Linked DNA regions of Saccharomyces cerevisiae S288C. The gene in region 2 interacts genetically with the main gene of each other region. Each region holds a gene or a part of one and is shown on either strand. Other genes may lie near its edges. The genes, in order: RGD1, GAB1, CWH43 and ALG8.

What was found.
Region 1: mutations in GAB1 (region 2) and RGD1 together harm fitness more than expected from each alone (negative genetic interaction), as found in Saccharomyces cerevisiae (3 studies listed by BioGRID).
Region 3: mutations in GAB1 (region 2) and CWH43 together harm fitness more than expected from each alone (negative genetic interaction), as found in Saccharomyces cerevisiae (3 studies listed by BioGRID).
Region 4: mutations in GAB1 (region 2) and ALG8 together harm fitness more than expected from each alone (negative genetic interaction), as found in Saccharomyces cerevisiae (2 studies listed by BioGRID).

The regions. Positions count from the first base shown.
Region 1 is NC_001134.8:730,608-736,488, forward strand, and holds RGD1 (GTPase-activating protein RGD1), read right to left. Parts: upstream 4,033-5,881; coding exon 2,032-4,032; downstream 1-2,031. Other genes in the region: YBR259W (uncharacterized protein), read left to right, coding at 1-1,846; TAE1 (N-terminal protein methyltransferase), read right to left, coding at 4,225-4,923; MIC12 (Mic12p), read right to left, coding at 5,113-5,433; glycine hydroxymethyltransferase SHM1, read left to right, coding at 5,657-5,881.
Region 2 is NC_001144.5:1,055,538-1,060,640, reverse strand, and holds GAB1 (GPI-anchor transamidase subunit GAB1), read right to left. Parts: upstream 3,308-5,103; coding exon 2,123-3,307; downstream 1-2,122. Other genes in the region: YLR460C (uncharacterized protein), read left to right, coding at 1-884; NBP1 (Nbp1p), read left to right, coding at 3,870-4,829; YLR456W (pyridoxal 5'-phosphate synthase), read right to left, coding at 4,957-5,103. UniProt on the Saccharomyces cerevisiae protein: Component of the GPI transamidase complex. May be involved in the recognition of either the GPI attachment signal or the lipid portion of GPI.
Region 3 is NC_001135.5:143,828-150,367, forward strand, and holds CWH43 (Cwh43p), read right to left. Parts: upstream 3,808-6,540; coding exon 946-3,807; downstream 1-945. Other genes in the region: RNA-binding ribosome assembly factor RBP95, read left to right, coding at 1-679; SRD1 (Srd1p), read right to left, coding at 4,411-5,076.
Region 4 is NC_001147.6:449,607-455,109, reverse strand, and holds ALG8 (dolichyl-P-Glc:Glc1Man(9)GlcNAc(2)-PP-dolichol alpha-1,3-glucosyltransferase), read left to right. Parts: upstream 1-1,647; coding exon 1,648-3,381; downstream 3,382-5,503. Other genes in the region: VAM10 (Vam10p), read left to right, coding at 897-1,241; VPS5 (sorting nexin 1), read right to left, coding at 1-1,342; MSA1 (Msa1p), read right to left, coding at 3,785-5,503. UniProt on the Saccharomyces cerevisiae protein: Dolichyl pyrophosphate Glc1Man9GlcNAc2 alpha-1,3-glucosyltransferase that operates in the biosynthetic pathway of dolichol-linked oligosaccharides, the glycan precursors employed in protein asparagine (N)-glycosylation.

The DNA.
Region 1 (5,881 bases), on a different chromosome or scaffold from region 2:
GTTTTCCTCAGAAACAGATGTTCAGCAATTCCTCCATTTAAATTACATATATCAATCTCACTTCCAAGCTTTGAGTGGACAAATAAACAAATATTGCGGCATGAAGAAATACTACGAGTTAAAGTTTGCAGCAATCGACTACTTAGAAACCGAAGTCCAAACTACCGGGCTTACACTCTCAAGATTCTGGGTGGCATCTTTAGATGAGTTCATTAAAAAAGAGCGATGGCCAGATAATGGATCTAACTTTCAAATCTTTTACAAACTAATGGCTGAGTATTCGTCTTGGAAATGGGATTCTGATGATAAAAGGCAACTCCAGTTCATGTACGAATTTCGAATGAAACTCAAAGAATGTTTGGTGAAATTTTACGAGAATTTTGATCTTCAAAAATCTAGCGATCCTCTGAAAGAACTCATTATACCTTGGGAAAAGATTGTTTATGTCGCCAACTGTATCGATGCATTCACTGGAGAGCAAGTTAGGATCGACGGTGCTGAATTAATCTGGACATCCAAAAATCTTGTGTTCTCTTCGATTTCTTCTGCCGTTCTTAGATTAAATGACCTTCAAAATATGTTCAGCGCATTCCGGCCTTATGGGGAAGAAGCATTAGTTCAAGACTTTGCGCATATACGATCTTTAAAGTGGGATAGTAATGATAAAGTTGAAAGCTTAATTCGTGCCCTTATTTTTAATGATATGTTTCCTTATTTCAATAAGGAACAGGTAGATACGAAGGCAGATGGTATATTCTTTTTGCGCTTACTGAGAAAAAACTTCAAAGAACACATTAATGACGTTAAAGATTTTCATATTCAAGTGATAAAGTACTTGAATTCCCAATTTAAAAATAATTACAGCACATTGATGACGTCATCGAAAACTCAGGATAGAAGGAAAAGTCATAATATGCCTTCTTCTATCTTAGACGATGGTAACAAAATTGGAATGCATGTTTCGCCTATCGATGAATACTCACATTTTATTGATAATGATGAACCGTTGTGGCGAGACAAAGTATATCCAAAGATTTACACAAATGAGCAAACACCTACACCTGACGCATCAGCAATATTTGATTCTCACAAGATATATGCAATTATATCGCTGCTGCGATATTACTTACCTGAGAAGAGAAAGTTTTTTCGGATTTATTATCTGCCCAGTATTTTTAAAAGGATATTATATTACGGTGCAAAGTTTGCTCAACTATATTTCATGGAAGGTTGCTTGGAACGGCTAGTAATAGAATCTCTCCAAATTCTAGAACCCTCTTTGGTACATGCGATAAATAATTTGATCAAGTCTAGCATAGAATCACTCAAAAATGTAACAGTGACAAGTGATGACAAAACTTCATCTGGTGTCATTATTTTGTCCTACAAAGAATTTAAGTCACTATCTGAAGTTAACAAAGATTTCAATGAACCATTTTGGCCTAACCAATCAATTGCGAATAGTTGGCCAGATTTCGCGAATAAGCAATTAAAGAGGGGTCAAATTTTGCAAGACGCATTTGCATTCCACCTTTTTGAAATTGAACTACCAATTATTATCGATACTACAAGAAATACGCATTTGAAACTCGTTTCCAACATGTGTACTACGAGCATATTGTACTTATATAATGAAGTTGATTCCTTATCATTAACTAGCATACAGGAAAAATTAGCTGTTTTACCGACAAGTAAACGGAATGAAATCTTATTGTACAATTTGAACAGGCTAACAAAATTGAAACTATTGTTGTTGAAAGAGAACGAAAAAGGACAAAAGTTTTACGCATTTAATTTTAAGTACAAAAGGGATGGACAGAAAACATCATTAATAAGGTTAATTTAACAACCGTGAAGACAGGGAGTTGGACCTTAGCAAGTTTTGTAGTAAATTATTATGGAATAGTACAACAGAATTTTTTTTTTTCTCAATATATAATTTTCCTTTGTTTTTACTTAAATCTGATAACAGCGTCAATGTACATACAAGTGGAAATTAAAGACGGAATGAAAATATCATAAGTGCTATGTTTATTCAGGCTCAAAAGCTTGATCTGAAACCTCTAATAATACTTCCATTGCCATAATTTGAAAATTTACATCATTAGCGTCATCTGGATTTGCAGGCGCAATAGTTGGACCCCAAATTATACAAAGAGCCCTTAAATTCATTCTGTTTTGGGCTTCATGTGCCAACACTCTTTTCAAATGAAAGACAAGAGCCCTTAACGTCCAGTATTGTGCGTCGGGGAGGTTATATATTAGTCCGTGCATAAAATTTTTTCTTGTTGTTGGGTCTTCAATTTGTAAACAAACCTTGATCTCCGATGATAGGGCCTTTGGTAAAACACTATCAGGCAGCGACGCAAAAAAAGTTTTCAGCAGTGATCCTACTAAATAAATATCCGAATCAGAATGTGGCTTTGATGGTAGAATCATGGAAATGTTTGCGGGATCCTTATCAATTTCCTCCTTCAACTTGCTGACATCAAGTACATTTGCCGATTTTCTATAAATTCCTTCTTGATCAAGCCCAAATTTATCAATAACGTATATGCATTGGCGCACTATCGCAGGGACCATGTCTTGTTCGAATTCTATCAGTGATTCTAGCGGTACACCAAATGTTTTGAAATTTTTTTGAACACCGGGTGGCATATTGTTGTTAGTCTGAATGTGAGAAATCGGGCGATCCGAGTCTAAAGAGTTAATCAATTCTTCTGGAATTTGTGGACTATTGTTGCCAGGATCCAGGGTCTTTGTTATGGATGATGTGGTGTCGCTTGTTACAATGGAAGAAGACGGTGACATAGCGCCAGCCGCATTGCTAGTGGAAGAAATAGATGAAGCCATAGTAGGTGGTAACTGCTTGTTGGTATTTAAGGACGGTGTAGCACTGTTAAGATTAGCATTCGGAACAGCGGCAGTGTTACTACTACTGCTCAAAAATGGAGATTCATTATGAGTGGATATCATTCTCTTCGGGATGGAGTTTCTTGAAGGGTCCACGGCAAACTTTGGGGGGCTCTTATTTTTCTGACCATGATTCATTGATGGATGCTTTTTGTATGATACAGGGATCAAGTTTTTGTTGATCAGTAGGGAATGTTTTCCTGTTTGGTTATACTTGTTCAAAAAACTGTAAAGATCACGTTCATTGGAAACAGATCCAGCAAATGATTTCATAGATTTGGTGGAGTCCAATGGGCTTATTGTAACACCTGTATTCAGAACCAAATTTTCCGTCCATATCGTGTACTTCTGCAATTGGATAGTCATCGCTGTGTCTATTTCTAAAATCAAATCTTTTAATTCTTGAACAATTCTAGGTCTCTCCTTCGTTATGAATGTGTTTCTCAAAGAATTAGAATGATCTACTTTTTGCTTATATTCCAGATCGGCGTTATCGATTTTTCTTAACAATTCTTCTTCTTGTTCCTTCGTAGTTTTGGAACCTCTCAAGGTCAGCTTTGTTTTTGTTGGGTCAGTCATCCTCAATTTGTCCCAATCTTGGCACAACGAATTGTAACGAGATTGCGCCTTTTCTGCGCTGTGTATGGCATCAGAAACATCCTTTTCCAGCCTTTTGCTGTTCTCCTTGACAGACTTTCTTAATTTTGTCATTGTTAATAAAAGACTACTAATCTCGGAGTACATTTTCTGCAAGGCGGTGATATAACTCTGCTTTACTTGAGCCATCTTGCCATCGAATCCCAAAACTTCGTGAATCATCTTTTTTAAGGATGAATTTGTGGAACCCTGAATGTTGAAAAAGTGCTTATATTGCTTGGAGAGCTCCTGAACGTGCTCTTCTTCGAAGGCGTATTTCTTTCTAATAAATTTCATAAACTCTTCACAAGTCAACAACGACTGCTTTAAACGGCTCAACAAAGCGTTAATTGCCACATCGGAATTTAGCACCTTCTTGATCTCTGGCGTGCTAAAAAGGTGCGCCAAATCGTCGGTGCCACCATCGTGCGACGACTTCGCACTTACTGTGGCACTAGCTGGTTTCTTCGCAGTCTCTTCCATCTTGTCTATATCACTTCTCTTTTAATCTTCCGAGATTGTATGTTTTTACTTTACATACTATTTTGTTCACATTCTTTATTTTCTGGGTTCTTTTTCCATATATATCGAAAAAAAAGTCTATATAATGGCACAAATGGTGAATGCCAGCACAAGAAAAGGGGCGTATCTATATAAATCTATGCATCCTTGATCCTAGTTTGGCATGGGCTTGAGTGCGTACATCCTCACTGGGTACAATTCTCTTGGTAAGCCACGTTGTCTTTCACTGGCGATGAGCTTTAGGCCAGCTTCTTCGAAGATTTGCCTGAACTTAGCATCTGACCTTGTGACCGAAGAATCCGTTTCGTCGAAATCATCGGTATCTGTAGGTGTGTTATTTTCTTTGACCACGATTGTCCCATTAGGTTGCAAACCAACAATACATCTTTTCAGGAATGCGACGAGTTCTGCATCTGGCAGGTGTCCCACGCACCATTGGCACCAGATCAGCCAGTACTTGCCGGCATCGGGGGTCCAGTCCTGCATCCCTACTTCATATATTTGTCCAATTTGGCCTTTGTCTTTCAGCTCAGCCAATTCAACGTGCATTTGCTCGATAAAAGGCTTTACCGGTTCTACAAGGTCTATCTTAGCGGCGTGCTTGTGAAGCATGGTCTTGCTTACACGTCCAATCCCCGCACCAATGTCTACAGCGTACTTCACGTTGTTCTCCTGAGGCAGCATCCTCGACTTCAGTTTACGCAGGAAGTTATTGGATCCCAGGACATCCATTGTGGGTACTACTGTACCTTCTCCGTATCCACCTAGAACACCATCCACAGTGGCGTCCACATCCGTCCAATAGTCGATGGCATCTTCGTATTTGATATGGGAATCTGCAGGCACGTCCATCGTTGTTGTTTATGTATTCTTTCTTGGAGATGCTCTTGACACCGATGCACATTACCAGAGTGAAAAGTACTGATTAATAATTAAATTTTTCTTTTGATATTTTTTCTGAATATAAAGTTCTACACAGAGTCGTTACAATAGGTTATATACATGAGGATGTTCGTTACAGTAGGAGAAATAGAAAGCTCGCTAATTCTTACCCCAGGAGTAGATCCAATCGACAGAGTTTCTTATCTGTTCATTCCAAATATCTTTTATGCTCTCCCCCATGGTCCTGCTCCATGCAGTGCCATCATCCGTCACAACTAGCTTGCGGTTCCTGGTCTCCCCAGGTACCACTTCTTTTCTATCCACCAGGTCCTGTACCTGATGATCTTGTTTCAACCATGTAGCATCGTGATCGTAGAAGTAGCCATTGTTACTGTATCGGTACAGGTAAAAAACAGAACCGATTACTCCCACAGAGAGAGTCCACTTCACAGATCTTGCTAACGGACCCAATTTCGACATGATTCTCTCCGTTATCTGCTGGTTCTTAGTCCACTGTCTGTTCTGTCCCCCTTCTGTCCAAGAGATAGAATATAAAAAAGACTCATTATTTTTTTTTAGGTACTTCGCTTATTGGTGGTCAATGAGAAAAAAAATACTAAAAGCCATCGCCTCTTGGAGAAGAGCAAACTATCAAAAATCATCAAGCCGACATTTCCACATCGAGTCTCATAGTCTTTCAATCATGTTTCCCAGAGCTTCTGCATTGGCCAAATGTATGGCAACTGTTCATCGTCGTGGGCTACTCACCAGTGGTGCACAATCGCTAGTCTCCAAACCAGTCTCGGAGGGAGATCCAGAGATGTTTGACATCTTGCAACAAGAACGTCACAGACAAAAACACTCTATCACCCTTATCCCATCAGAAAACTTCACCTCGAAGGCCGTTATGGATTTGCTAGGTTCTGAG
Region 2 (5,103 bases):
TTTCTATCGGTGATTATATTTATGGGTTCATTCACGGATCTTCCGTAAGGTTTCCTTCCAATGGTGCTTTTGCTGAATATTCTGCTATTTCAACTGTGGTTGCCTACAAATCACCCAATGAACTCAAATTTTTGGGTGAGGATGTTCTACCTGCCGGCCCTGTCAGGTCTTTGGAAGGTGTAGCCACTATCCCAGTGTCACTGACCACAGCCGGCTTGGTGTTGACCTATAACTTGGGCTTGGACCTGAAGTGGGAGCCATCAACCCCACAAAGAAAAGGCCCCATCTTATTATGGGGCGGTGCAACTGCAGTAGGTCAGTCGCTCATCCAATTAGCCAATAAATTGAATGGCTTCACCAAGATCATTGTTGTGGCTTCTCGGAAGCACGAAAAACTTTTGAAAGAATATGGTGCTGATGAATTATTTGATTATCATGATATTGACGTGGTAGAACAAATTAAACACAAGTACAACAATATCTCGTATTTAGTCGACTGTGTCGCGAATCAAGATACGCTTCAACAAGTGTACAAATGTGCGGCCGATAAACAGGATGCTACAATTGTTGAATTAAAAAATTTGACAGAAGAAAACGTCAAAAAAGAGAACAGGAGACAAAACGTTACTATTGACATAATAAGGCTATATTCAATAGGTGGCCATGAAGTACCATTTGGAAACATTACTTTACCAGCCGACTCAGAAGCTAGGAAAGCTGCAATAAAATTTATCAAATTCATCAATCCAAAGATTAATGATGGACAAATTCGCCATATTCCAGTAAGGGTCTATAAGAACGGGCTTTGTGATGTTCCTCATATCCTAAAAGACATCAAATATGGTAAGAACTCTGGTGAAAAACTCGTTGCCGTATTAAACTAGATGACGAACAGATATTATTTTCTTTCATATACATAGTTATTACGTTTAGTTATAGTGACTTAGTTTTTTTTTTTTTTTTAATGAAATTGTTTGTTATTGATCACCCCTTGTAGGGGCAACAGATGAGCACAGTGAAAATCATAACTCATTATGTGATTCGTTGTGAGTAACCCTTCCATGATTATATATCCTAACTATCTACTATCCAACTACTACATATCTATTGAACTCATATGTACCAAGCACATAAATTTATGCACCCATTTCCATTGGCAAAGACTTGGCGAAATTTAATACACTGTAATAATATCCGGCGAAGCTCTTTAAGTATTCTTACCTATAATGGCGGCTCGCTGTCCGAACGATTGCGCCGCACTTTTCTGCCTCTTACATTCCTTTTTCCTAAGGCGATAAGCAGGCTGAATGGAAACTACAATATATTGCAATAGAGCTTCCCCAAGGAACTCCCACTTTCCTTGGATTATTACAAAGAGAGTTTTACCTTTTAGGTCATTCTCACAGCAGATCCAAATATGTAGAACCTGTTTTAGAACAACAAATAGAAATGATGTGTTACAGAGTACCGTTTAAACTGAGTCATCACGTAATATTCTAATTATGTTTTTTTTTTTTAAATTAGCTAATGTAAACAGGCTGGAATGTATGGGAACTCATCACTTCGTAACTGATTCCATCTTCTATCTACCATAACTTTAAAAAAGATTATCGATAGTCTAAAAATACGCGATACACATTCTTTCTTCGTCCGTTAATGATAAAGCTCTTTTTATGTTAATGTACATGGGTTGTCAAACTACCCTTCCCAAAAAGACAGCACAAAATATATATTTATGCCGTGCTATTCTATGATAATATATTGGCTTTCACCTAATGGAAGCCCTAGCGAAGATAACCTTTTTCATACGACTTTTGGTGGGAAAGAAATTGGCATAGTCCCAAGTACAATGTTGTTATTATGTAGGAGCTTAATCCGCAGATCATACACTCTATCTCAATTCTTCGTATTATAACGCTCATGATTAATTAGGTCCTTCTGAGTTCTATCTTTTCTCTCCGAGACAATATTATGCAAATTTTAACCAAGCAGTTTCTCTTAAAAAATAGATAGCCTCTGGAATAACCAATATGGCTCTCATATTCGCTTTATCCACTCTTACGATGAACATCTGTATGGTTCTTTTTATTCTAGTTTATGTACGTTTATAGACGGGAAGTAGTTAAATTTGTGTTACCTTCAATTTGAAATTTGGGATACCGTTATCGTATTCAATTCTCAGCATCGCCCAGTTCAAGTCAACTAATATAGATGCTATAGCCAGAGCATAAACTAGGGAAATAGCATAGAAAAAATTACTATTCCCTGAACCTAAAACAACCCAAAGATGATAGAAAATTGGCGCCAAAACAATTGCGTGTAAAAACAGTAATGCTGATATGATGGGGTATCTTAAATATCCAAATAGTGGCGTGAAGAAAGGTAGGAAGCTGAAGAAAAAACCAGCGTCACCTAGTGAGGGATATGGCTTTGTAAGGACAATCCACCCAATGCATAAAATGAATGCGTAGAATGGCTGCTTATGATAGCGCAAAGTAAATGGTGTAATGAATACTGCAATAAAAATGTTGAATACAGCCTTGAAGAACGGTATGAAGGTGTCAAACATTTCAATGAAGAAGTACCACCACAAACCCAGATTTGGAAAAACCTTCTCAAAGGTTATAATAGATCCATAAACCTGTGTCAAAAATGACCAACTTTGGCTGCCTAATATACTGTAGCTGAATAATAGCAGAATTAATAAAGATAGTATGGAAACAATGGCAGATAATATTCTTTGCCTCCAACTTTTCAGCATACCTAATAGCGGAATTAAGAGGAGAATAGGGTATACTGACAAATATCCAGATATAGAAATCATAACAGAGGACAAAAGAACGTTTCCTTCAGCTAATATGCAATACAATGACGATGAAATAGCAAAATTTGTGAATATGATTGATGACCGACTAATGCACGATAAAAGGGTCAAAGGATTCACGGCATAAAGAAGTCCAGGTAGCCAAACTTTCAGTTTCAAGTTTTTGAAAGCCTTTGTTACCTCTGTCAGCTGATACGCAATTAATCCATCAATTAAAGCGTATATGAGGGAAATTAACCTGTCGGAATTAAAGAGGGAAAGAAAAAAAATCAAAATTGGAGGATGGTGAACAACCCCATGATTATATACTTGGATGTTGTTCCGCAGTAGGTATATACCTTCCTGTAGTGACCTAAATGAAGTTACGGGAGTTGAGAATTCTACAGACTGGTCCAGTTGTTGTTGTAGAGAGGGAAAAAGGCTGTTCACAGCCAAACGAATTGCAATACAGCCTAGAGCTACCTTAAGTGCTGTGGAATCCATTGGTCTCCTTTTGGTGAGTTTTTCATATAAGATCACGTTGTTTATATGAATTACTGTTCTAAAACTGGTTAGTTTTGAAAACAAAGGTCATTTCACTTAATGGAATATTTGTTTTACCCGGAATACGTAACATATCGTTTGCCAATAGACGTCTTTAAGAAGGATGTTTTAGCTTCCTTTGAGAATTATGCTACCAATAATGCAGATAGATATGTTGGAAATAACTGTTTTGACAAGAGCTTGAGATTTACTTGTTTAATGTATACTCATATAGAAACATCGAAAACAAATGAGGAAAGAAATTGAGAGCTGAGATCAATGTTAATTTTCATTCATTTGATGTTATACCTTTACACTTTAAAAATAACTCATCCGAAACAGCCAATGGTCTATCCTTGACCTTCGCCAACGCCTCTTATACTTTCATTAGAGGCCACTCTAGCACAATTCGTGACGCGTCATAGTATAGAAACGATGCGCGCATCAACAATTATGAAATTATTGCTGAACATGAACAAGTAGATACTCTGAAGAGAAAGGTACAATAATAGACATTGGTAATATGCTAAAATCCGTACAGGGACTGTGGAAAGATTTTTTTGGAATACGAGATGATGGCAGGAAACGAGAATACGGGTCCCTTGATGAAGTGAGAAAACGATCTGCCTTAAGGAGCAGAAGAAAGCAGATGCGTCCTACGGGTAAAAGCGTTCTAAAAAGACCTAGAAAGGTGACAGATAGGAAAACTGAAGAAAAAATTCGTACTAACAGGAGGAAAACACCCAAACGAAGGTTAACAAAGATATTCCAGACAATCAGAGATGTTTTTTCCAATGATAATGAAAATATGAGCAAGATGCAAAATGTTTGTGGCGACATGACTAGAATTTTGAAGAAGAGATCCCAGGGAAGACCTTCTTATATGGACACAGATACAGCCAAATCTAGGATCCTAAGGAGTGATGCCTTTAAGAGAAAGATATCGGAGTTGAAATACAATAAGCAACGGATCAGTGAACTAAGAAGTGGTAGTTCTGACGGGTCGAGTGGAAAAGATAGAAATCAATCATTATACTTAGATAGAGAAATTCTTCTACAGCGGCAAATTAAGAAAAGAGATGAGAAAATAAAAGCCTTGGAAAGCAAGCTACAATCATTACAAGAAGCATTGAATTACTCAAATGAGAAGTACAGGATTTTGGAGGATTTACTAGATTCTTCAAACATTCATCCATCATACACCAAATCTAGGAGAACCATGTCTAATCTAGCTAGAGAAAACGATGAGATTAAGCCCTTGAAAATTGATCTTTCCCCGTCTCCAATAAGAAGAACGAATTCATTATTCACTTCCAGCCCCATGAAAACATATAATCGGGATGGAAATATACCAGAGATGCAGCCGTTACAGGAAAACATATCTCCCGCCTGTCCCACTCCACCCTATCGTTCAAGGGAAACTGAAAAAGAGGATGAAACACTTTCACCAATCTCAGTGGACTTTTCAAGTTATTTATCTTAATTTCTCCTGTGAAATTAAAAGTATTCTCCATATATGGAGCGCGAAGATCACGGCCTAATCCTCATGATTCATTTTATAGATGCTTTATATAATAATTAGAGTACACATAGTTTTCATCATATTTCCGTTAAACTGGTTGTACTGTTTGGCCGTATGTAGAAGTATTATTTTCCATGTCAGAGACTTTTATTTTTTGTATATTTACCTTTATTATGGCTGTATCTTCTCCTAGTATAAAAATATCTGCGTCTGGATTGACTGTTAATAACAACCG
Region 3 (6,540 bases), on a different chromosome or scaffold from region 2:
CTCTACCAAAAAAGGGAAGCGTGTGTCGAAACCAGGGACGAAGAAGAAGGAAAAATTGTCAAAGGATGAAAAGAATTCGAAAAAAAATAAAATTCTTAAAGATCAATTACGTTACCTGATAGAATTTTTCAGGACAAAGTCTGAGAGCAAGTTTCCCACCGGAATCCTAGAATTGGAAAGTGTAAAAGAAAATTACGGCGACTCCCTGATCAAAGACGAGCCATCAGAGTCTGGTGTTGTTGAAGTTTGGAAATTTTCCAAGCAAAAGCAAAATTGGCTTATTAAGCATTTTTTCAACTTGGACGAAATCCCCTCAGTATATAATGATCTTTTGCTTTTATATTTCAGGGACTTACAAGGTAAATCAAAAGAAGAACTAATATCAAAATGCAAAGGAAAACTGAAGCAATGGAACGACTATGTGGAAGATCAAGAAACAAAAATAAAAGCGTTAATTGCAGAGGATAAGGCTAGCGAACCAATTAATGGTGAAGAAAAAGAAGAAGGTGAAAAAGACGGTAATGCCGAACAAGGGAAGCAAAAAGAGGTACAAGACGAGCAAGAGGAAGTACAAATGCCGAATAAAGAGCTTGTTCAAAGAAGTCTGAAATTACTAGAAATTTGGAAGAATGATGACTCGGAGCAGATAGAACTTAAGAATTTCTTCGTTGATGTTTAACATAGAGTTCAACAACGTTGTTCAGTTGTAGTATATATTTTACTGTGAAATACGCTCAAAAAGTAGCGGGATAAATCGTTTCAGGAAGTATAATTTCTTACAAAACTATAACAAGATCGTCTAAGTAACATACATAAAGAAATCACATAAATTTTTAAAATTCGAGGTCAAAAAAATCAGGTGGATACATAACTTACCTTAAGTTATCAAGATTTTCAGTACACACAATGTGATTACACTGATTTATAAAACCACCTTACGGCCTCTTATAAGTAATAACGTGGCTCATCAAAAACATGGTAGAAGTGACCCCTCTCACCTTCGCCTAAAAACTTATCTGGAAATTTCATGTCCTCATATTCCGGTTCACTCATATGACCGTATTCATACATAGAATCCGAGTGCTCTACTAACGCTTGCTCACTCAAAACTTGGAACTTACCAACTTGTAGCTCCGTATCGGTTATCGTTCCTCTTGCAACTCTAGCATATCCTGTTCTTCTCAAGCCCCTATACAAGATATACTCACACCATCTATCATCGTCAGAAGGATCAATGTCGTGCATTCCGGATGTTTCACTAACGTACGTATTGTAGTTGCCTTCACCTGGATCAACAACTAAGTAACTTAATAAAATAGCTGGGCGAGTCGTATTGCCCATGAGCTTAGCCATGTAGTTACTTTGCAGTCTTCTATCCTCTTCATCCTCTTCTTGTCCACTATGGAATACAAAGACGTCAACGAGAGTGTCATTGTACGTTTGAAGTGTGGCATGAATGGCTGGCGCAAGTTCCCCAACTGGAGAGGGCAATAAATGATGCGTAGAATTTACGATAGGGAATTTAGAAAGAAGAACACAGCCCCAGGTATGTTTATTTGGACCTGGTCCGAAATCTGCATACATATTCAAATCATGAGCTAGTTTGCTAGTTAGATCCCTGTTCCCCATGGTAATTCTTTGTGTATCTGTTTCTAGTAGACCTACCACATCTAGTTCCATATCTTTAATAAGGTTGATCATTCTGTCTTCAGATGCCCACATATCATTATCGAGACCAAAGTGGATAGTCCAAATACCAGCTGTAATCAACTGAGAATCTGGATGATAAGGCTGAGGAATTCCTGTAGGTCTAATATCATACACGAACCTAGCTGTTAGTGATAGCAGGGCCACGGCAAAGAAGAAAACATAAATGAAGAATTTTTTGCCCATAGTCACCAGTTGAATGTTAAGGTTTTTGCATGTTAAAGCACCAATAATGATAAATGTGGAAGAAAAGGCAAGAACCGTCTCAATCTTCTCCCTCAGTACCCAGCCCATTGGAACAAATGCGTATGCAACGACCCAAACATGGGCAAGGACAAAGATAATATAAACGGAGAATGATAGGACATAAACCCATATGTTTTGAACTTGGCCTAATGCAGAAAAATACGAAGGAACTAACCAAAGCATAGCGATAGCGTACAATAAACCACCGAAAATATATTTAGGCCATTGTGTAATGCTTCTAGCTGAAAGTACAGCAGTGGATATGAGAAGCAACAAACATGGAACTAATGGCTTGCCCATAAACTTCACAGAACTCAAAGAAGCAAATAACATGACCGTACAAGTTAAGGCGCCCCAAGGCCATGGCAAGGGACCGTGTGATTCATTGTAACCTTCCCATGCCCAATAAATAGTAGTAGAAGAATCCGTCAATAACTGATGAATTCCGAATAACAACGAGCCAAAACCAACAGCCAAAAATAATTTGCCAATCAACGAAGCAGATTTTGCTTGAGCATTCCTTTTCCCTTCGAAATTAATTGAATTAACATAAGGCGACAGCATGCCGAATAAAACAGTAAGCACGAGAGCTGTCTTATTATACCCACCATTACGTTCATCTAAAATGACCCAAGTTGGATTGTTGGTATAGAACCCCATTTTCAAGATCACAGATGCAACAAGACCTAACAGCCAAGTTAGAGCAAAAGAGAAACTAGTCTCCGCATTTGTGATATATCTTAGATTTTGTACAAACGTTGCAACGGTAATGGAAGTTCCCACAGCTACAGAAATCAACCTTAATTCTGGCATCTGAACAATATAGGCACCAATGGCAATAATACCTCCTAAAAGTACACCATATTGCGTGAAGGCTTCAGAAACGAACGGCAGATATAAGAAAATGGGTCCCAAATAACCCAATATTGCAGCTTCATAACCTGAGATTCCCATATACCATAGCGGGAAATGCCAAATACTACATAACAGGGACGTAACGTTCGACCAGAAAAGAAAACCGTTAAAAATATTTGTTAGTAAGTAAAAAAAAGAGTCAAACCTGAAATATGAACCAGTTGCGCTTCTAGCAACGGGTTTTTCCTTTTCAACCTTCTTTTCACCACTTTTCTGCAATTCTGAACTTTTTTCTTCTCCATAATTTATGGGACTAGAGTCTCTAATTTGGAAAAAACTGGTATTACCGGGTTTCTCATTAAAAGCGAGAACAATATCTATCTTTTTGAAATCAGCGTAAGCAAATGCATCAAATGCAATATCTAAAAGAATCAGAGACCATTCGAAATAAGCATATATAGAATATGCCCCAGCTCTCTGTTGGACGGAGTGCTGAATGTACCAGTAAATCATCGGGAACAATGTTCCAAAAAAAATTGTAGCAGTCAACCCTTTGTTCTTCGAAGTTAAAGGACTAGAATAGCGGGTAATCATTATATCCCATGGTAACGTTAAAACAATGTATGTGATCATAAATATATCATGAATATCGTGGTCATCTGTACTTGTAATGTATACCCAACCACCGCAAGAGACTGTCCGGAGTACACCGACAAGGAAGCATACCTTAGATTGGTTCAAGTAGTAGTGACCTAGTAGCAGTAAAAATCTTGGAAAAGCAGTTAGAGCTATTAAGATTTGGAAAATAGAACGTTCCGGATAGCGGTCCCCGATAGTGGCTGATACACTAGGAAACCACTCATCTGGATACGTATAATGTGCATTGGTTACAATTTTATGAAAATGTAATGAATAACCAGTGACCAAAGCTGCAAAGAAGGCGGAGAATGCACAAATAGTATGAGCTATAGGGATGATCTTCCCATTGATGATCAGCATAACTGGCGGTGGATACCTTCTGTATTCCTGGTTACTTATTCCTCGAGAAATCGGACATTAAAAGGGTGCAAATACTGTGGAGAAATTATAAGTTACCAAGTCAAAAAGCGAATGAGAATCTATTGTTGCGATTTTTTTGGTTACTACTTCTTACCCGAACTAACTTTACATAATAAAAAAGCATGAAGCGCATATTCAGGGACTCAAAAATCCCAAACTGGCACTTCTGTATATACCGATGAGCATACTTTGATTGTAAAAAACAACATTAAAAAGAACTGCAAACCTGAACCAAGAATACTTAATTTCAAAACCGAGAAATGAGGTACAACTTGTAGAAGTTCACTTAAACTTATTGAGCATACAATCTCAACAAAACTAACTGCAAAGTTTGTTGCTATAGTCATATAGTAATACTAGCAGGAAGCCATTAATCAAAAAGAAACTCCATATAAAACGTAATAAATATTATGAATAATAGTACAATATAAGAACAAAGACGAAGAAAATACATTATAACTGAAGTGCCAATATTAGAAAAAAAAAAGGTGGAATATCCTAGTGGAAAAATATCATCTATGCGGTGAAAGAATTAAATAGATACTATGGATTGTTTCGATCTATCCTTTTATCTGCTGCTTGCCTTTTTTTTTCATTCTCCTTCTTCAGTCTTTTTCCATAGGCGAGTCCACAGGGACTACAAAGTTCCCTGTTTTGGTCGGGTCCACTACGCCATTGAATTGTCCAAGTGTCTTTACATTTAGAGCATTCCTTTATCTCACCATTTGGGAGGATTGTTTGTCTCTTTTCTCTTTTAGGACGACTAGTAGTCTTTTTGCTGTATTTCTTCGTAATACTGGCAGACCGACTAGTTCCTTGTGCACAACTATGGTAGCCTTCAAGATTGTTTGCTTCTTGGCTAGTCGTACGTCTCTCGGAATTGCATGCACTAGTTACACGATTCTTTGAGGGTGTAATTTCGTTCAAAGAGCTGGTTTTGTTCTTAACAATATTTCTTGTAAGATCTCTTAGTTGTTCGGCATTCTCAATTTTTTTTTCAACATCAACAGCCCTTATTTGAGAAAAGGATACTTCAATAAATGAGCAACTTGCATAAACTCTTCCGCGTTCCTTATATGCCTTCTTTTTATCGTTTGACTTCCAGTCATCAATTTCTCTATTTAATAATAACGTTTTCTCCATATCTGACTTTTTAACTACTCTAGTTAAGAAGGAACTTCCAGAGTTGTCATAATTATTATATCGCATACTAGCAATAGTAAATGTCTGGTTATTTACCTAGCAACCTCTTAACAAAGCGATAACAATGAAACAGCAATATAAGTCTATTTAATTGACAACATCATTGATAAAAGTTTGAACAAGCGTCTAAAAGTCGAAGAAGTTCATTTCAAAGTTTTGTGTATCGAGCTTGATGATACTTATTTAGGGATCCGCTCTAGTTTACTGTGATACAACTGAAAAACATTACAAAGCTATCGCGCCTGCATTCTCATATTAGTGGCGTATGTTTGTGTCACATTCGATACTTCTACATAATACAATGACTGAACCCTTACCGCTGGCACAGGAATACCGCGCCGCGAAAGCAGGGTCTAGGAGAAACAATAGAATTCTTGGCGATGAGAGAGGGGAAGGCTTTAATAAAAAAAAATAGCGCTTATCCGATTCTGTTGGAATAAGTGGCTATCAATATTTACATGTTGATATGGTAGTAAGGATATAAATGCTTATATTGAATATTTGGAATAAGCATCAACTATCACTTATTGAAAAGGACTCGAACAAAAAAATATGAAATGTCGAAAGCCACATCACTGAGAAGTTGTTGGATTGAAGCTCTAAAATGTCATCTTTTAGTAGTATTCGTGTTACTAGTATATTATCACATGCGGTGTAAAAAGATGACGTAAAGATTGAGAAACAGTCATCAACTGTTATGGAAGCTGAAATGCAAATATTGATAATGTAATAGGATAATGAAACGTATAAAATGAAAAAGAATAATAAAATATTATTATGTAGAAATACCGATTCCATTTTGAGAATTCCTATATCCTTGAGAAGAACTTCTAGTATATTCTGTATACATAATATTACTGCCTTTATCAACAATGGAATGCCAAAAATTATCAAAATATCACCCAATATTCAATTTTATTGTTGTGAAGACATCAAGCCCTAGATATATATCATAGTAGGATAAAATAGTAGAATAAAACTATTCATATATCTACGTGAAAGCATCAGAGATTGTAATGTTGAGCGCCGTGGCGCAGTGGAAGCGCGCAGGGCTCATAACCCTGATGTCCTCGGATCGAAACCGAGCGGCGCTATTAAATTTTTTGAACTGTCCATTAATAATAATGGAACTGACGTCGTCAATTACCGGTAGCTTTTTTGCCCACATTTTTAATCATCTTTTAAGTATTTGAGTATTTGTTGTTCACTAGAGTTTTACTAATTAAGGTTCTGAGAAAATAAAGATATGCATTTAGAAAAGTCGGTTCTACACCGCAAATTTCTTTATTACAGAAACATTTTATACAAAGAGGATACATAGTTATTGGAAAGAAAATCAATTATCTTTTTGTTGGGTAGTATGAATATTACTTGTACATTATCATATACAATATAAAAAGATGTCATAGAGTTGTGAAATATTTATTATATTTAATAAAAGCTGAAGCGCAATGATTGAAAACGTTTTAG
Region 4 (5,503 bases), on a different chromosome or scaffold from region 2:
TAAATCCCTTGTGCGATTCCGCGTCGATACCCCCATTTTTTAAGACCTCGGCAGCATCCTCTGCACCTAGTAGTTGTATCTCACTTATCCGGACTTCTGACAGATCGTTGCTATCATTAATAGCGCCAGATCCAGTCAAAAATGCCCTTTTTTTAGACTCTGAACTAAAGTCATCACTTGTCAAAAAGAGTAGAAAATCTTTGTCCTTTTGTAGAACCGGATCTTGACATATTTTTTTTAACATGCTTTCCATTTGAAATCTTCTATTTTCAATGAAATTTTCCTTAAAACTGCCTACTGATTGCTTCTCTGGTGGTGGTGGTATTACTTTACCCCAATGGTTGTTCTGCAATTGACGATATAGCCACCTGAAATCTCTGTAACGCCTGCTTACCTGTGCATATTTTAGCTCAAGTAATGATGATTCACTGATTACAGTATACTCCACATGAATGGATGTTAGCTCTCCTACTTTGACCGGGTCTTTAACTTCAACTTTGAAAGCCACAGCCTTTTCGGTTGGTGGCACCTTTGAGCCAATCTTGGTTTTTCCAAACTTTTCTGAGTTTTCCTCGACCTCAGCAGGACTTGAAATATTAGCACCTGTCTGAGGAAGATTGTATAAAGGCCTGTCCACTTGCTCAAGGATATTTTTTTCAACAGAAGCTGTGAACTTGCCCTCATTGTTTTCTCTCCTTTCATTCCTATCGTCCAATGGCTCTTCAACAAATTCATTCTCTTTTTCAGCTTTCTTTAAGGGATCAGTAAAGGGTGTTTTGATGGTATCATCGGAAGCAGTTGTTCTCTTCGCTTTCAGAGAATGGTTGCGTTTGGAGTTTCTTTGAGCTCTGGCGGAATCAAACAGAATTCGTGGTTTGCCGGATCTTCTTCCAGAGATGCTTTTTGAAGTATTTGGTGAAGTGTTAGCATCGTATATCGTATCGTCAAAAACTAAGGGAGAGTTGGCGTTTCCAGTGAACAATGCGCCACCGGATTCTCTTGTTGCAATAAATTGTGTAGTGCTATTCTTGAGATCAGCAATCGGATCCTGTTCAGGGGCTAAAGAATTAATAAGATCGTCAGCTTTGGAATTGTCATGCTCCTCTAGTTGCGGATTACCAGCCACCGACAAACCAGGGTCTTTCCATTCTGGCGCACTATCCAAGTCTATCTTGTCCGCAAATGAAGCTGTGGTCTCTAAAAGCTCATTGTCTTTTCTTTCTTCATTTGTAGATATTTGACCAATTGATTCAATTGAATTTGAAACGAGGCTCTGAGTTTTATCTCCCTCATGATTTAGTTCGTCCCAAACAGGTGCTTCTAGATTATCCTCGTAGTCCATGGCTTGTTATTGCAGGATGTATGAAAGTTTATAAAATCCCTGCTGCAAATTAAGAGATATATGGTTTCGTTCACTACGTAGTTATAGTAAATAACCTTTGCTTAACCCATTTTTCAAAGCATTTTTAAAATTTACTGTTATCACTTAGTTGTTCTTAGCGGACAACTTCCGAAAAGTGAAATTTCATTTTTCAAAACGACAATAGTGGTATAGAATTATAGAATAACATACGTTAAAAATAGCTGAAGTTCATTACAGTTCTGTAGTGGTCAGCAAGGCATTTGACGTCTATTGGATAGCCTACGATGAAAGGTGATCGTTCGAGGCAAAATATGGCTGTGACAAAGAAGGCAAAGTTAAAAAAAAATGACGAGCCAAAAAAGGTTTTGAAGACTGCCGCGACCGAAAAAGGTGAGGGATCCAAGCGCTACTCCTTATGGAATTTCTGGATAAGCACATTGTTTTTAAAATTACTATTGATTCCTGACTACTTCAGTACAGATTTTGACGTTCATAGAAATTGGCTGGCAATCACCAATAAATTGCCCATCAGCGAATGGTATTATGAGCACACTAGTCAATGGACATTGGATTATCCGCCATTTTTTGCTTATTTTGAATGGTTTTTATCGCAATTTGTTCCTAAATCTGTACGTGATGACGGTTGTTTGGATATAGTGGAGATCGGAAAGTTCGGTTTGCCAACAATCGTTTTCCAACGACTCACTGTCATCTTCAGCGAAATTCTTCTATTTGTCATCCTTCAAATATACATTAATACTACAAAGCTAAGTGAAAGATCTCAAAGTTTTGTGGTTGCTTCTAGCATTGTACTATCACCCGGGTTTTTAATAATAGATCACATTCACTTCCAATATAATGGTTTTCTTTTTGCGATTCTAATAGGCTCCATTGTCGCCGCCAAGAATAAGAGATACATCTTGTGCGCTGTTCTGTATACTACAGCCATATGTTTCAAGCATATATTTTTATATTTGGCGCCATGTTATTTCGTGTTTTTATTGAGAGCATACGTTCTCAATGTCAACAATTTCAAGTTTAAAAGTTACAAAGATTTTTTGTTCCTGATAAGATGGGCAAATCTTTTGAAGTTGGCTACCGTTGTTGTTGGAATTTTCACTATTTGTTTCCTTCCATTTGCTCATCAAATGCCGCAAGTGTTGAGCAGGTTATTCCCATTCTCAAGAGGACTGACGCATGCATATTGGGCACCAAATTTCTGGGCGTTGTATTCTTTTATGGATAAAATACTCACTACGGTAATGTTGAAATTACCGTACGTCCACACTTTTGCTACAAAATTTATTAAACCTCCTCTGATCCCTCAGAATATCAAGGAAATTAATGAAAGGCTCGCGGCAAACAACAATGGAAGTAAAGGTCTAGTTCAAGACGTATTTTTTGTTATTCTCCCTCAAATTCCTCCAAAATTAACGTTTATTTTGACGATATTTTACCAGGTCTTAGCAGTACTTCCACTTTTGTTTGATCCATCGTTCAAAAGATTTGTTGGCTCGTTGACTCTCTGTGGGTTGGCATCGTTTTTGTTCGGGTGGCATGTGCATGAGAAAGCTATAATGCTAGTCATCATTCCGTTCACATTTCTTGTTGGATTTGATCGTCGTCTTTTGGTACCGTTTATGTTAGTTGCCTCAGCTGGTTATGTTTCCTTGTATCCTCTTCTGTACAAAGGCCAAGATTTTTTCATTAAAACATTATACACTTATGTTTGGTGTATAATTTATTTTGCCGCTTTTAGAAAAACTACGAAGATTTCTTCAAGTGTAGAAAGAAGAATCTTTTTCTTGGATAGGTTGGCATTAACGTACATCTTTTCATTGTTACCAATCGTCACCGTATTACAAATATTGGATGAAGTCAAGTGGAGATATTCATTTTTGCAAAAATTTGAATTCTTAGGATTAATGATATATAGTGTCTATTGTTCATTAGGTATAATCAGCTCGTGGTTTGCCTTATCGTGGTTATATAATTTTGACGAATTACTATGGCAGTGATACAATATCGCTTCCCTAGGACGTTAAAAAAAAAGTGATATAAAATTATTTATATATGAATCGATTTTAGAAATATTTATTGTACATTTTCACCTACTAACTAATTGAATAACGATTAGATTTCGATTTATGCAGTCCCTCACGCCAGTTCCTCATTATTTTTCGTTTACGTATTGTGCGTTTTACACTTGAATTAAAATAACATTACATTAAACTGAATGAAGGTCAACTCCATTCACATGCATCAGTTGAAAGGTATATAAGTACTACTTCAATATATTATCTATCAGCTCTGGGAAAATGCTTTAAGAAGGAAAAAAGGTAAGTAAACTATTTTTTAACGCTTCATGATTATTGAATGGTCCTTTTGGCTCATATCGTTTTCATGAATCTATGACTATTTTCACTGATCATCGATTAATCTTTTCAAGGCAGTTCTAGCATCATCCTGTTTGTTGCTGTACGGGTTTTGTTTTAGTGAATCGTCAAAGCTAGAGGGAGCTTTCCCGGTTCCAACAGGGAACCCGTGTAAATTAGGAGTTGCACTGTTCGAAATTGAAGTACCTGGTATGTATTTGGTTCCTAATGAGCCATTCATGGTTTGCTGGATTAATGGAGTGCATTCAATCAAAGTGGGTAATTGAAATTCTTGATTTCTAGGAGTTGAAGGTCCATGGGCAGCGGTAAATAAATTCGCCGGCGGCTGTAAGTTTTCGCTTTTGGTGTTACCTAGCATATTTGCTACCCCTGTTGTGGTTTTTTCTTTGTTGAAGTAAATAGATGACACCCGAGACATAGATTGATGAGGTGGGGAAGCGATATTGATTTGTGGCGGGGAAGAGTTCATGTTTATGTGAGGTGGGGGTATTTGAAATTGACGCTGTTGTTGTTGCCTTTGAGTAGGAGAATTGGATTGCGATTGCACTTGCACTTGCGCCTCCAATTGAGCTTGTAATTGTCTATGGACGTTGCCGCTATCCGATGCGGTGGCTACAGTGGTGCCATTTACCATGACATTAGAGCTTCTTGGTGGGCTGAATAATCCAGGTGAACCAAAGTTTATCCATGAAGGAGGTGTGTTAAAACATTTTTGACGTCTGGGCGTATTAGATACATTGAACAGCATTTCTGGCCAATTCCCATCTGCGTCGTCAGTAAGCAATAACGGGTCACCACTTGAAAACTTAAACACGAATTCCTGCTGTTGTTCGTTAGATGCAGTAGTCGACTTGGGCAACATTTTGTTTCGAGGTGATAAGAAAACTCCCGGGCTATTAGTCAAGGTAAGTAAAGTATTAGCATCCGCGATATTGCTAATGGAATTACCGTTCTGATTGTTATTATTGCTGGCACCCACAGCATTTGTAGATTTGGATATAGTATCACTTAATGATACGGAATTTAGTGCAACATTGGGAGTAAATCCCATCCTGAATTGTAGAGAACTCTTTGGAGTGGATGGGGGCTTAAGTTGCGCGCTTGAAGGGGGTGATTGTGGTGGTTGCGAAAGCAGTATATTATTGTTTCTAGCACTGCCTATTGGAGAAGCTGAAGTTTCTATGATAGTCGGCAATTCTGTGTCGATGATGTCAGATCTGCTTGGTTTCGCTGGAGGTGCTTCGGGGAGCGTATCAGTATCACAATATTTCTCATTCTTCATCTGTTTTAAGAGAGAAAGAATACGTCTCTTCTCAAACTTGGGTGCATTTTTCTTGCTTCCTTTGTGAATTTTTTCATTTTGCATGATCTTTTTATTATTATTGTTCATTAAATGAGACGATTTTGACGATGGAGAGAAAGGCAAAGATCCTGCAATAACGGCCTTCCCACTTTCGGTAATGGTTAAAGAAAGTTTGAATTGTTCCTGTGAAGGAAACATGTAGTCATTTTTCTTTTGGAAAGCTGGAGAAGACGTCATGATAGGCGGCGAACTCTGAAGAAAGGTTTTCCTTGTTTCAGAAAACACCGTGTTATTATAGCTGTCATTCGAAGACGGGGTAGAGATCGGCGTAGAGCCATTAGTGCTCGATTTCTTGGTGGGAGTAGAAAGAAGAACGCCCCTGTATCTGCCCTTTCTCGTAGTTGCCGCCAAATTATGATGATGATCGATGCTGAGTCTTCT